Bombyx mori: one gene and its partner. The protein of the gene in region 1 purifies or fractionates together with the protein of each later gene. This does not show direct contact. Links are inferred from orthologs where the notes say so. Each region holds a gene or a part of one and is shown on either strand. Other genes may lie near its edges. The genes, in order: inositol polyphosphate 5-phosphatase E; retinal rod rhodopsin-sensitive cGMP 3',5'-cyclic phosphodiesterase subunit delta.

Region 1 (4,279 bases):
GCAAAATCTTCGACACACAACTTGGCTTTGCTTGGCAATGTCGAGTCGTGGCAAGAGAAGTTGAAATTCCACCACTGGCTTTGAGTGTGACCAGCGAGCTATCCTGTAGAATGCATGTAGCGCCATCTAGCCGTGTTTCATATTTAACGCTAACCGAGGGGCCCAGTGGCACTGACGCCCATCGGTCTGGCATCCGAGAGAAGTAGAGTGAAAGAAAGAAAGTCGCTCCGGGTAAATTAATCACCTTAGGCCCCAAATGTCCTAGTTAAGTTCAATGTCATCCGAATTTCGAACGCGGGCTCTTGATCAAACGAGATTTAGTTGGTTCGACACCAATAAGACCCACCTTCTACACTAAATTAGTAGGCAGGACTCCGGTAACTTCCTCCTCGTTTGTGTATGTTTCCTGGGTTAGCAAAAAAGGCTCTGTATTTTTGAAGTTTTAAAAAGTTTCTCTTTTGTTATTAGGACCCAATAGGCGTGATCGCAAGCTTTACACGGGGCTGCGAAAGTTTCCCGGATTTTTTAAATCACGAAGTTACAGATCCAACATTCCGAACTTTTTATAGAGCATGCACAAATGATTTGTGCAACATTGGTAACTTATTACAATTTGCTTATTTTTTATTTATAATATTACAAAATAAAAATAAAAATAAACATTTAGGAATGGTATAATTGAAGCATGCTGTAAGATTGTTTTTATTAGTGTAAGTATATGAAACGACCCACTTAATTTTAAATGGTTATTGAAACCTATAGACACGACAGCGTGAATACCATTACTTATTTAAAAGGGAGTGATCCGAAGGCTCAATTGTGTTGGAAGCGGTGTTGGTGGTGGCGGTTATGTTAGCCTACAAAGTTCAGAAACAGCAAAGCGACGGTAATAGATATCGAGCTCAAAGGGCAGTACCTATAGTGTAACAAGAAGATAGCAACTATGAATAATGGACTACATAGGTACAAGAGAAACAAATAATGAACTATATAACAATCTATCTATTCTACACGTACTGCTATTACTTCACGTCCTACACATCTAGTCCTCAGAATATTATGTCATCAAATTAGAACTAAAATGAACTACACATGTTTTAGGTGATGGAATTCAGTCTATAGTCGGCGGTAATTTGTCTCCGTATCCTGCATACACCGGCATTAATCTATTAGTACCTGGGACAGGAAGCGGAGTAAATATCAAAATGAATAGAGTGTTGTTCTTTTCTGTGATAATGATCCTAATCGGGTTACATGTTTAAATAAATAATGTTCATTTTATTTTCTTCAAATCAGAATATTTTTTTGTAATATCTCAATAAAATACAGAAATTACATTAGCTCTTGTCATTAAGTACTTCCACAATATTACGTCCTAGAGTATCTGTACCTCGTACTCAAGCTAACGTTGGTTGACTATATCCCCACAGATTATTCAGAGACATGACGTTACCTAGGAAAAACGCTTTTGTCAGTGTCCAAGAGTCCAAATTGTCATTAAGTGAAAAATAGCTATAGCTACCAAAATGTCTGTTAAAAAACTTGATACCTAGGTTAAGAATTTTAGATAAAATATGTAATCAATAACATAAAGTAACATAAAAACTCTTACTAAATTAACAATGACTACGTCTCCTACCAGAACAAAACAGAAATTGTCTTTGCGGAAACGGTTATTCGTAAAAAAGTCTCCTCGAGTCGGTTGCTATGTTGATACAGAATCAAACGATGAATTTTCTCAGTCCACGTCTCGGCCCATATCGCCCGCGGATCCTTTTTTAGCTCAAAGTGCGCAGCATATCGAAACCAGTGTAGAAGCGATAGATAATCAACGAAATGCTAGTGCTGAACCACTTTCCCAGAATAGTAGTCACGGTGTCAGTCACAACCAAAGAGAAGAGGAGATCAACCCTAAATGCTGCCGTACCTTCTTTAGAAGATCTCGACCCAAGAGCTTAGTAGATGGAGGTCATTCCAAAGATGAACAGTGTCCAGATACATCCAGAGGTTGCAGTCCAGTATCGAATTCTATTAATAGTTTAAGTGACCAAACTATTTCTCAAACGAAATCAGACGAAATACCCAAAGCAACTATCAAATTTCCTAAAAGTGATGATTCAAAAAAGAGCTTTGAACATTCTGGTTCATTTGAGGGCATCAAAACAAAAAATAAACTCTTTGTCAAACGTTTATCAGCTGATCATCTGATTTCTACTGAAAGCAAACCACTATTTCGTTCTTCATCTCCCGAGAGTGATAGGAGTAGTTCTCTAGATCGTAAAAGAAGGTAATTATTAGGTTATTATATTGTAGTATTTTTTATTAAACAATTTATAATCATTAAAAAAAAAATGATCTATTAAAGATTAACAAAGATTGGTTTTTCTTAGTGTATGAATAAAAATTATAATATACCCACTTCATTTTATAGAAGTAAATCAACAATAACCCGGTCTGCTTCTCGTGCGGGTAGCACTGATAGCTTAGCACGTAACTCTTTGCTTGCTGCACAGGTGCTACGCCTCATACCCACACAAGAAGCTCGTGAAAGGTAGGATATAAACATCCATATACAATCATATGCTTAATACAAACTACTTACGGTATTATTATTATATAGTATATTATATATTATTATCTATAGTATTTTATAAATTATTACCAAAACTACTGAAATAAATGGTATATTAAAAAATAATTACTCAAGTCTCACTGTAGATAAAAGTAGAGTATTAAAAAAGTAAGATAACTAGTCGAGAATGCTTAGCCATGTTATTTCGCAGAATACAACAATAAGGAGAGAAAGCTATTACCCATAGACACAATCAACTGAATTTCTCGCTGCATTTTTTCAGTTGGTCGCAATTCTGTTCTGGTGGTAGATTCTGCGAAGCACTACTCTTGCTAGGGCTAGTATAAGCAAATTATTTCAGGTTGAGCACATGAGCTCACCTACCCATCTGCGAGCAGCTGAAATTGCTCCTTAGGTTACCAGCGAATATGTAGGAAAAAAACCACTATTCGGGATGAAGTAGTATAATAGAAAACCAAACTCAGCCAAATTTGTTGTCACACTTGCCTTATAGCATCAGCTAATTATGTTTCTAGCTAGATTCCCTCAGTGAGTTCTTATTCTGATCTGGTGGTGGAGGTTCACAGCTGCCACTGGTGATATTTTTGTTAGGCTACCTTACCACCACCAGAGTACCTTTGACACTTGATCCATCTGTCCTGAAGATGGAAAGGAAATCTAATACAAAACAAGTAGCCAAGCTCACTTACCAATACTCTTTATACAATAAATTATCAAACATATTAGAATTATGTAAAATAATCTTAAATTTACTTTATAAAGAAAGTTTAAATAAAGGTATTAAAAAATAAGCATTAGCTCCTTTCATAAGCAACCAATTAATAAATAATTGTTATAGATGAATTGTAATGGTGATTGTTAATTGGGGTATAATAGTGGTAGTCTTGTGATTCTGCATGGCTAGATACCACTACCCAGCCTATTTTTACCGTGAAGCATTCATGGGTTTTGGTTTGAAGGATGGTGCAACTATTGTAATTGTAAGAACTCATGTCTTAAAGTGGATGACAGCATCAACATCGCAGATGTCTATGAGCTCTGGTAACCACTTAACACCAGGTGGGCTATGAACTCGTTCACCCAATAATAATAAAAAAGTCAATTAGAAATACTATATATTTCTATTATATTATACATTGACACTATATACATAATATTATCAGATGAAATTTATAGGCATCTGATATTTTTATATTATGCTATTTTTCAGAGAATGTTTTATAACATATAATCATTAAAAAATATATTTAAGTAATGAGTCATAAATAAATCAAACTAATTATTTACTTTGCCTTTACCTTATCAGCCAAGTACAATATGGGGACTGAGTCACTGTTACCTTGAAGTTAATTACAATAACGTACTACGAAAATGAGATCCTAAATTAAAACTTGTAGTACATTCTACAGAACATGTTTTAAAAGTTTTATATAATACACTGTTTTTTTTTTATCGTGTGTTTAGTGTCGTATTCTATTTTAATGCAGAAAAATCTATTGGTACTTCAATTACAAAAATGGAAAGATCAAATGAAAATGTTTATTTCAGAAATTACCTTTATGGTAGACTTGCCTCACATTCACTCCTCGGCGCAGCTGAACTAGAACATGTTTTTCCTGATAGAGAAGTCAAGATATTTGTTGGCTCATGGAACATGAATGGGCAAGCACCGCCAAGGTAACATCT
Region 2 (4,385 bases), on another chromosome or scaffold:
TGTAACAGACATAGGTCACATGTTTTCAGGTTAGTCACCACAAGCACTTCATAGTGTATTTGGGTTTCAGTATCACCTAAATGTGAGCTGTAGCCTCATCTGCCCATCTATACTAATTTATATTGAAATTTTATATACTATCAAACTTACTTGAGCACATTGGCCGGCATCATTTGCGATTCAGGCGCTGACTCTATAACGGATTGCCAAGTGTTCGTTGAGTTCGGGATCACATAACCAAAATCGAAAAACCACTCTTCTAAACATCTCCCTTTGAAGAGTACTTTCTATAAAAAGAAACATTTAGTTTTTTTTAGTGTTCAAATCAGTTATATATTTTCTATTGCTGTAGGTGTGAGTAGCTCAAAATCCATGTGTTATTAATGAAGTTAGTACCGAATTACCAAATAATAAAATGTTTATCTATGTAAAAATTATATTTTATATCTAATTAGATTGGTAATGTTATATTTAATTGTAAGTGTACTACCAGTTAAATGCAGGATTGGATAGTTTAAATTCTATAATTCTGTGAACATATTAATTCAAGTCAATTAAAATAAACTAGATGAATGAATTATTTTTGAAATAATATGATATAAATATGGAGCAAAGCTTGGATTCAGACAGTTCTAAGTTGTCACATCTGTGGCCAATTATACTGATAGATGCTGATGGTGATGTTATTTTAACAAGCAAACATTTCACACTATACAGTCTAAGCCAGAAATTTCTCCCATGTTCTGGATACCAGAAACATACATATAAGACAGGAAGATGTATACTCAATACTCAGATTCGAATATCAGTTTGATAAATATAATTCCACCTAAATCAAAACTATCATGACACTTTTTCTTATTCTTATTCTTGCCTTTATACAATGATGACCTTTTTTCCATTCAGGTCTATCATACATCATATTTACCCATACACACCCTTTTCACTCATATGGACTTGGAGGGAATGTGTGAAAGGGGTTCACACATTCCCTCCAAGTCTATTTATGACGTCCCCTCCTTTAAGCATCTACTGAACACTAATCAACACTGTCTAGTCTATCTAACCTACAACATACTGTTTTTAGTATTTCTGACTCATCGGCTACATAAATAATGTTAAATGATGCTTGTAGTTGGAAACTAATTCTACTTTAATTGCTTACTATCTTAACACTAGCGACCCGCCCTCGCTTCTCTTCGGAAACATTAAATTTTATTATTGACTGATAGGCCAAGCCAGCCATGTAGCGCGCGGTACGACAATAACTGCGGGAGACGCCGCGGGGCGAAGCTAGTGTAAAAAAAGTTGTCTAAGTTACTCCTTATATCATCAGCTACCTATTAGTGAAAGTCTCATCAAAATTGGTCCAGCCGTTCCAGAGATTAGCCGGAACAAACAGACAGACAAAAAAAAATTATAAAAAATTTTATTTTGGTATATGTACCGTATATATATTCATATGAATGTAGTAAAAAGCTGTTATTTCAATACTACAAACAGACACTCTAATTTTATTTATATGTATAGATGTACCTGTTCTAATCTAAATCTATCCATGGATTCTATTGAGCTGAAGTTCATTTCACGAGACACTACTCTGCACTTGAGAATTCTTTTGGGTACTCTTGCTTCGTGTTCCGCATCTGGACTTGACATGTCCTCATTATGTTGCCAAAGAATTTTTCCTGAAAAAGAATTATTAATAAAATAAATATAAATGTGCAATAGGGGAAAAATTATAACATTGCTGTTACTTAAGTATCTAAAAGTAGTTTGATTTTTATTTAAGAAACTTCATAAAATGAGAAAAAAAAATTGCCACGCTTTGCTCGCCCGCGATATGTTATTACAGTTTTGAGTATTATTATTATGTGTTGAGTATGTATATTTTATACAACAATCATCAGCAGTCTGGTGAAGCTACTTGTAGGATTTTTAAATACTAGAAAACATTTAATAAATCTTGCTCCTGGAGTGGTCTCATAGACATCCCAATGTAAAAACAATTAACCACCTTGGACCCAAGATTAGTCATTTATTTATTTATTTTAATTTTTCATTCACATCAACTATAGCATCATATAACTTTTAATTATATTCTGTTGAGTATATTTAAAAAAACAAACAATGATATACACAATCAGTAACTGACTTGTTTATCTTTGGAAATTGCATATCTAATTTACAGGCAAAACAAATTCTACTACTGATCTTAATTTTAATATATTTCAAACGTTTTTTTTTCAATGACTAGATCTTTACCTGTGTCAGCATCACGAAGATTCATCCAATTACTGACGTTGCAATGTTAAAAAATTATTGACAATTGTTAAGTAAAACACATTGAAATGATGAATCTATTTATTTTTAACGCTGTTTATAATCAATTAGGGATCACATGTTAAATACATCAATTGAGGATGTATTATTTTTACATTTTCAGGTACATTTTCAAACTTTAATTGTGGGACTATTGTGGGAAACAACAGCATAATCGTGGGAAGAAATTCATTCCAAAAGTGATGCACGGTACAAATGCTTAGGTACTGAATTACTATGGAACAGCATTATGTTTGCAGACGATGGGCCTAATAATGCAAAAATACTTTTTAAAAGAATAGGCAGGACTTGGTTTAAAGTCTCTCGACAGTCGGGTAATCATCCAAAAAGCAAAAAAAGGTGCCCTGCTAGACGTAACGCCACGACTTACTCGTCAACTATTCGATTTTAAAGGATCTCAACTCACAATGGCATTAAGGGCAATATAAGAAAAAGAACATATGTAAAGGATACATTTGAAATCCCTTCAGAATAGTCTCCACACGATCATTTTTATCTCGTTCAGTTGTTAGAACGTCAGTCATATTTGCGAAAATAAAAGTTCAATTCCAATTTTATATGATTATGTTTTTGATTGCTGATTTTCTTAACAGCGAACTGAACTGTGTTTATTTTTCTGTCTAACAAAATACTCTAAACAATTAAGTGTTTATTCTATGACTCTAAATTCAATTACGAACACAATATTGTTCACATTCACATTGAAAAATGAAAACCACTTTTTCTGGGGTTTTTTTTGCAAGCTCCATAAATTAAGTCTATGGTCTTTTTTTATGACCTGGTAACATAGACCTTTAGGTTGTTTTTGGCGGGAACGCGAGGAGTGAAGTTGTGTGATTTGTTTTATTTTATCTATTTAGTGTTTCTTCAGGTTTAAATGTGTAATAACGGTGGTTTATTAACTGTTTGATATCTGTGAAAGTTCACAAATGTGGGAAAACGAAACAAAGCCACTGGACATAGCTTCTCGGGATCCTCTATAGAGATTAGTATTATTATTAACTCCATGGGATCCACCAATTAACGTCATCATATGACATATGACATAACATCATATGAATAGAATGTAAATAGAATACAAATAGAATGTAATGAAATAAATGAGTTCAAAATCACTGCGGTCTTAATGGGACAACTTATTTTCCATAGTACGAATATTTTGGTTTTTAGATTATTAATTATTTATTGTAATTAGTGTGGTTTATTTATTGTTTTGATATTTTCTCTGATAATTAAGTAATATCAATGAAGTTACGACTGTCATGTATGTTATTTATATTATCGTAATAAAAACATCATCAAAGACCAAAGTATGGGACATCAACATTGCGGCTGCTATGGTCAATTTTTTTGAGAAATGCTCAGTAACTAATATTTTAATCTGTGAACTACTACAGAGCATTTTCCAGAGTCTCAGACTATAAATTTCAAATTTTAAATTTATTTTACAGTAATTCACAAATGTCGATTCAGTCAAACAGGCTTTTTATATGACAGCTTCAAAACGATCTTGTGCACATCAATATCAAATCGACTAAACCACAAAATCGAATCAACGATTGTGCACTTTCTTTGCCAAAAGATACAGTAGCCAATGGCCGTAACAAAAAAAAGAAAATTTCACAAAAATCTCAATTTGTAATTTTGTACATAGGTACCTACATAAAACACAATAATAGCCAATAGGTAAAATTATATGTTGTACTATGTAAATGTTGTTTGTTTAGTCCAAGAGGTGAACACAAAAAATATTTCTAAAATTTGTACCCTGCTAATGTTTACGTTATCACCGTATTTATGTAACTGGCCGTTTGAAATCACTACAGGATTATTAAGAATTTTCTATGAACCCGAAAAGCGAGTCTGTCGAAGCTTCGAGGTATGTATCTGTTTTATTATTTCACTATATTATTAATATTTAAAAATTCACATCACGTTGACCTTTAAGATTACCAAAATATATCTAAATTTTATTGTATTTGTTTCGTGCAGAAACAAAATGTTGATAGGGGTTATGAAGCATTACTTGCTATTTTAGTACC

Evidence for each region.
Region 2: the proteins of inositol polyphosphate 5-phosphatase E (region 1) and retinal rod rhodopsin-sensitive cGMP 3',5'-cyclic phosphodiesterase subunit delta purify together in Homo sapiens (affinity purification with mass spectrometry; 3 studies listed by BioGRID and IntAct, with this or other methods). This does not show direct contact. The link is inferred for Bombyx mori from reciprocal best matches to the Homo sapiens genes INPP5E and PDE6D.

What each region holds. Positions count from the first base shown.
Region 1 is NC_085123.1:6,741,235-6,745,513, forward strand, and holds the start of inositol polyphosphate 5-phosphatase E, read left to right. Parts: upstream 1-1,465; 5' UTR 1,466-1,622; coding exon 1,623-2,287; intron 2,288-2,431; coding exon 2,432-2,551; intron 2,552-4,141; coding exon 4,142-4,270; intron 4,271-4,279. Other genes in the region: uncharacterized protein LOC101746422, read left to right, coding at 469-598, 1,102-1,262. UniProt on the Homo sapiens protein: Phosphatidylinositol (PtdIns) phosphatase that specifically hydrolyzes the 5-phosphate of phosphatidylinositol-3,4,5-trisphosphate (PtdIns(3,4,5)P3), phosphatidylinositol 4,5-bisphosphate (PtdIns(4,5)P2) and phosphatidylinositol 3,5-bisphosphate (PtdIns(3,5)P2).
Region 2 is NC_085119.1:5,232,894-5,237,278, reverse strand, and holds the start of retinal rod rhodopsin-sensitive cGMP 3',5'-cyclic phosphodiesterase subunit delta, read right to left. Parts: upstream 2,942-4,385; 5' UTR 2,868-2,941; coding exon 2,797-2,867; exon of another isoform or gene 2,447-2,796; intron 2,298-2,446; coding exon 2,266-2,297; intron 1,689-2,265; coding exon 1,537-1,688; intron 288-1,536; coding exon 151-287; intron 1-150. Other genes in the region: ubiquitin-protein ligase E3A, read left to right, coding at 4,188-4,222. UniProt on the Homo sapiens protein: Promotes the release of prenylated target proteins from cellular membranes. Modulates the activity of prenylated or palmitoylated Ras family members by regulating their subcellular location.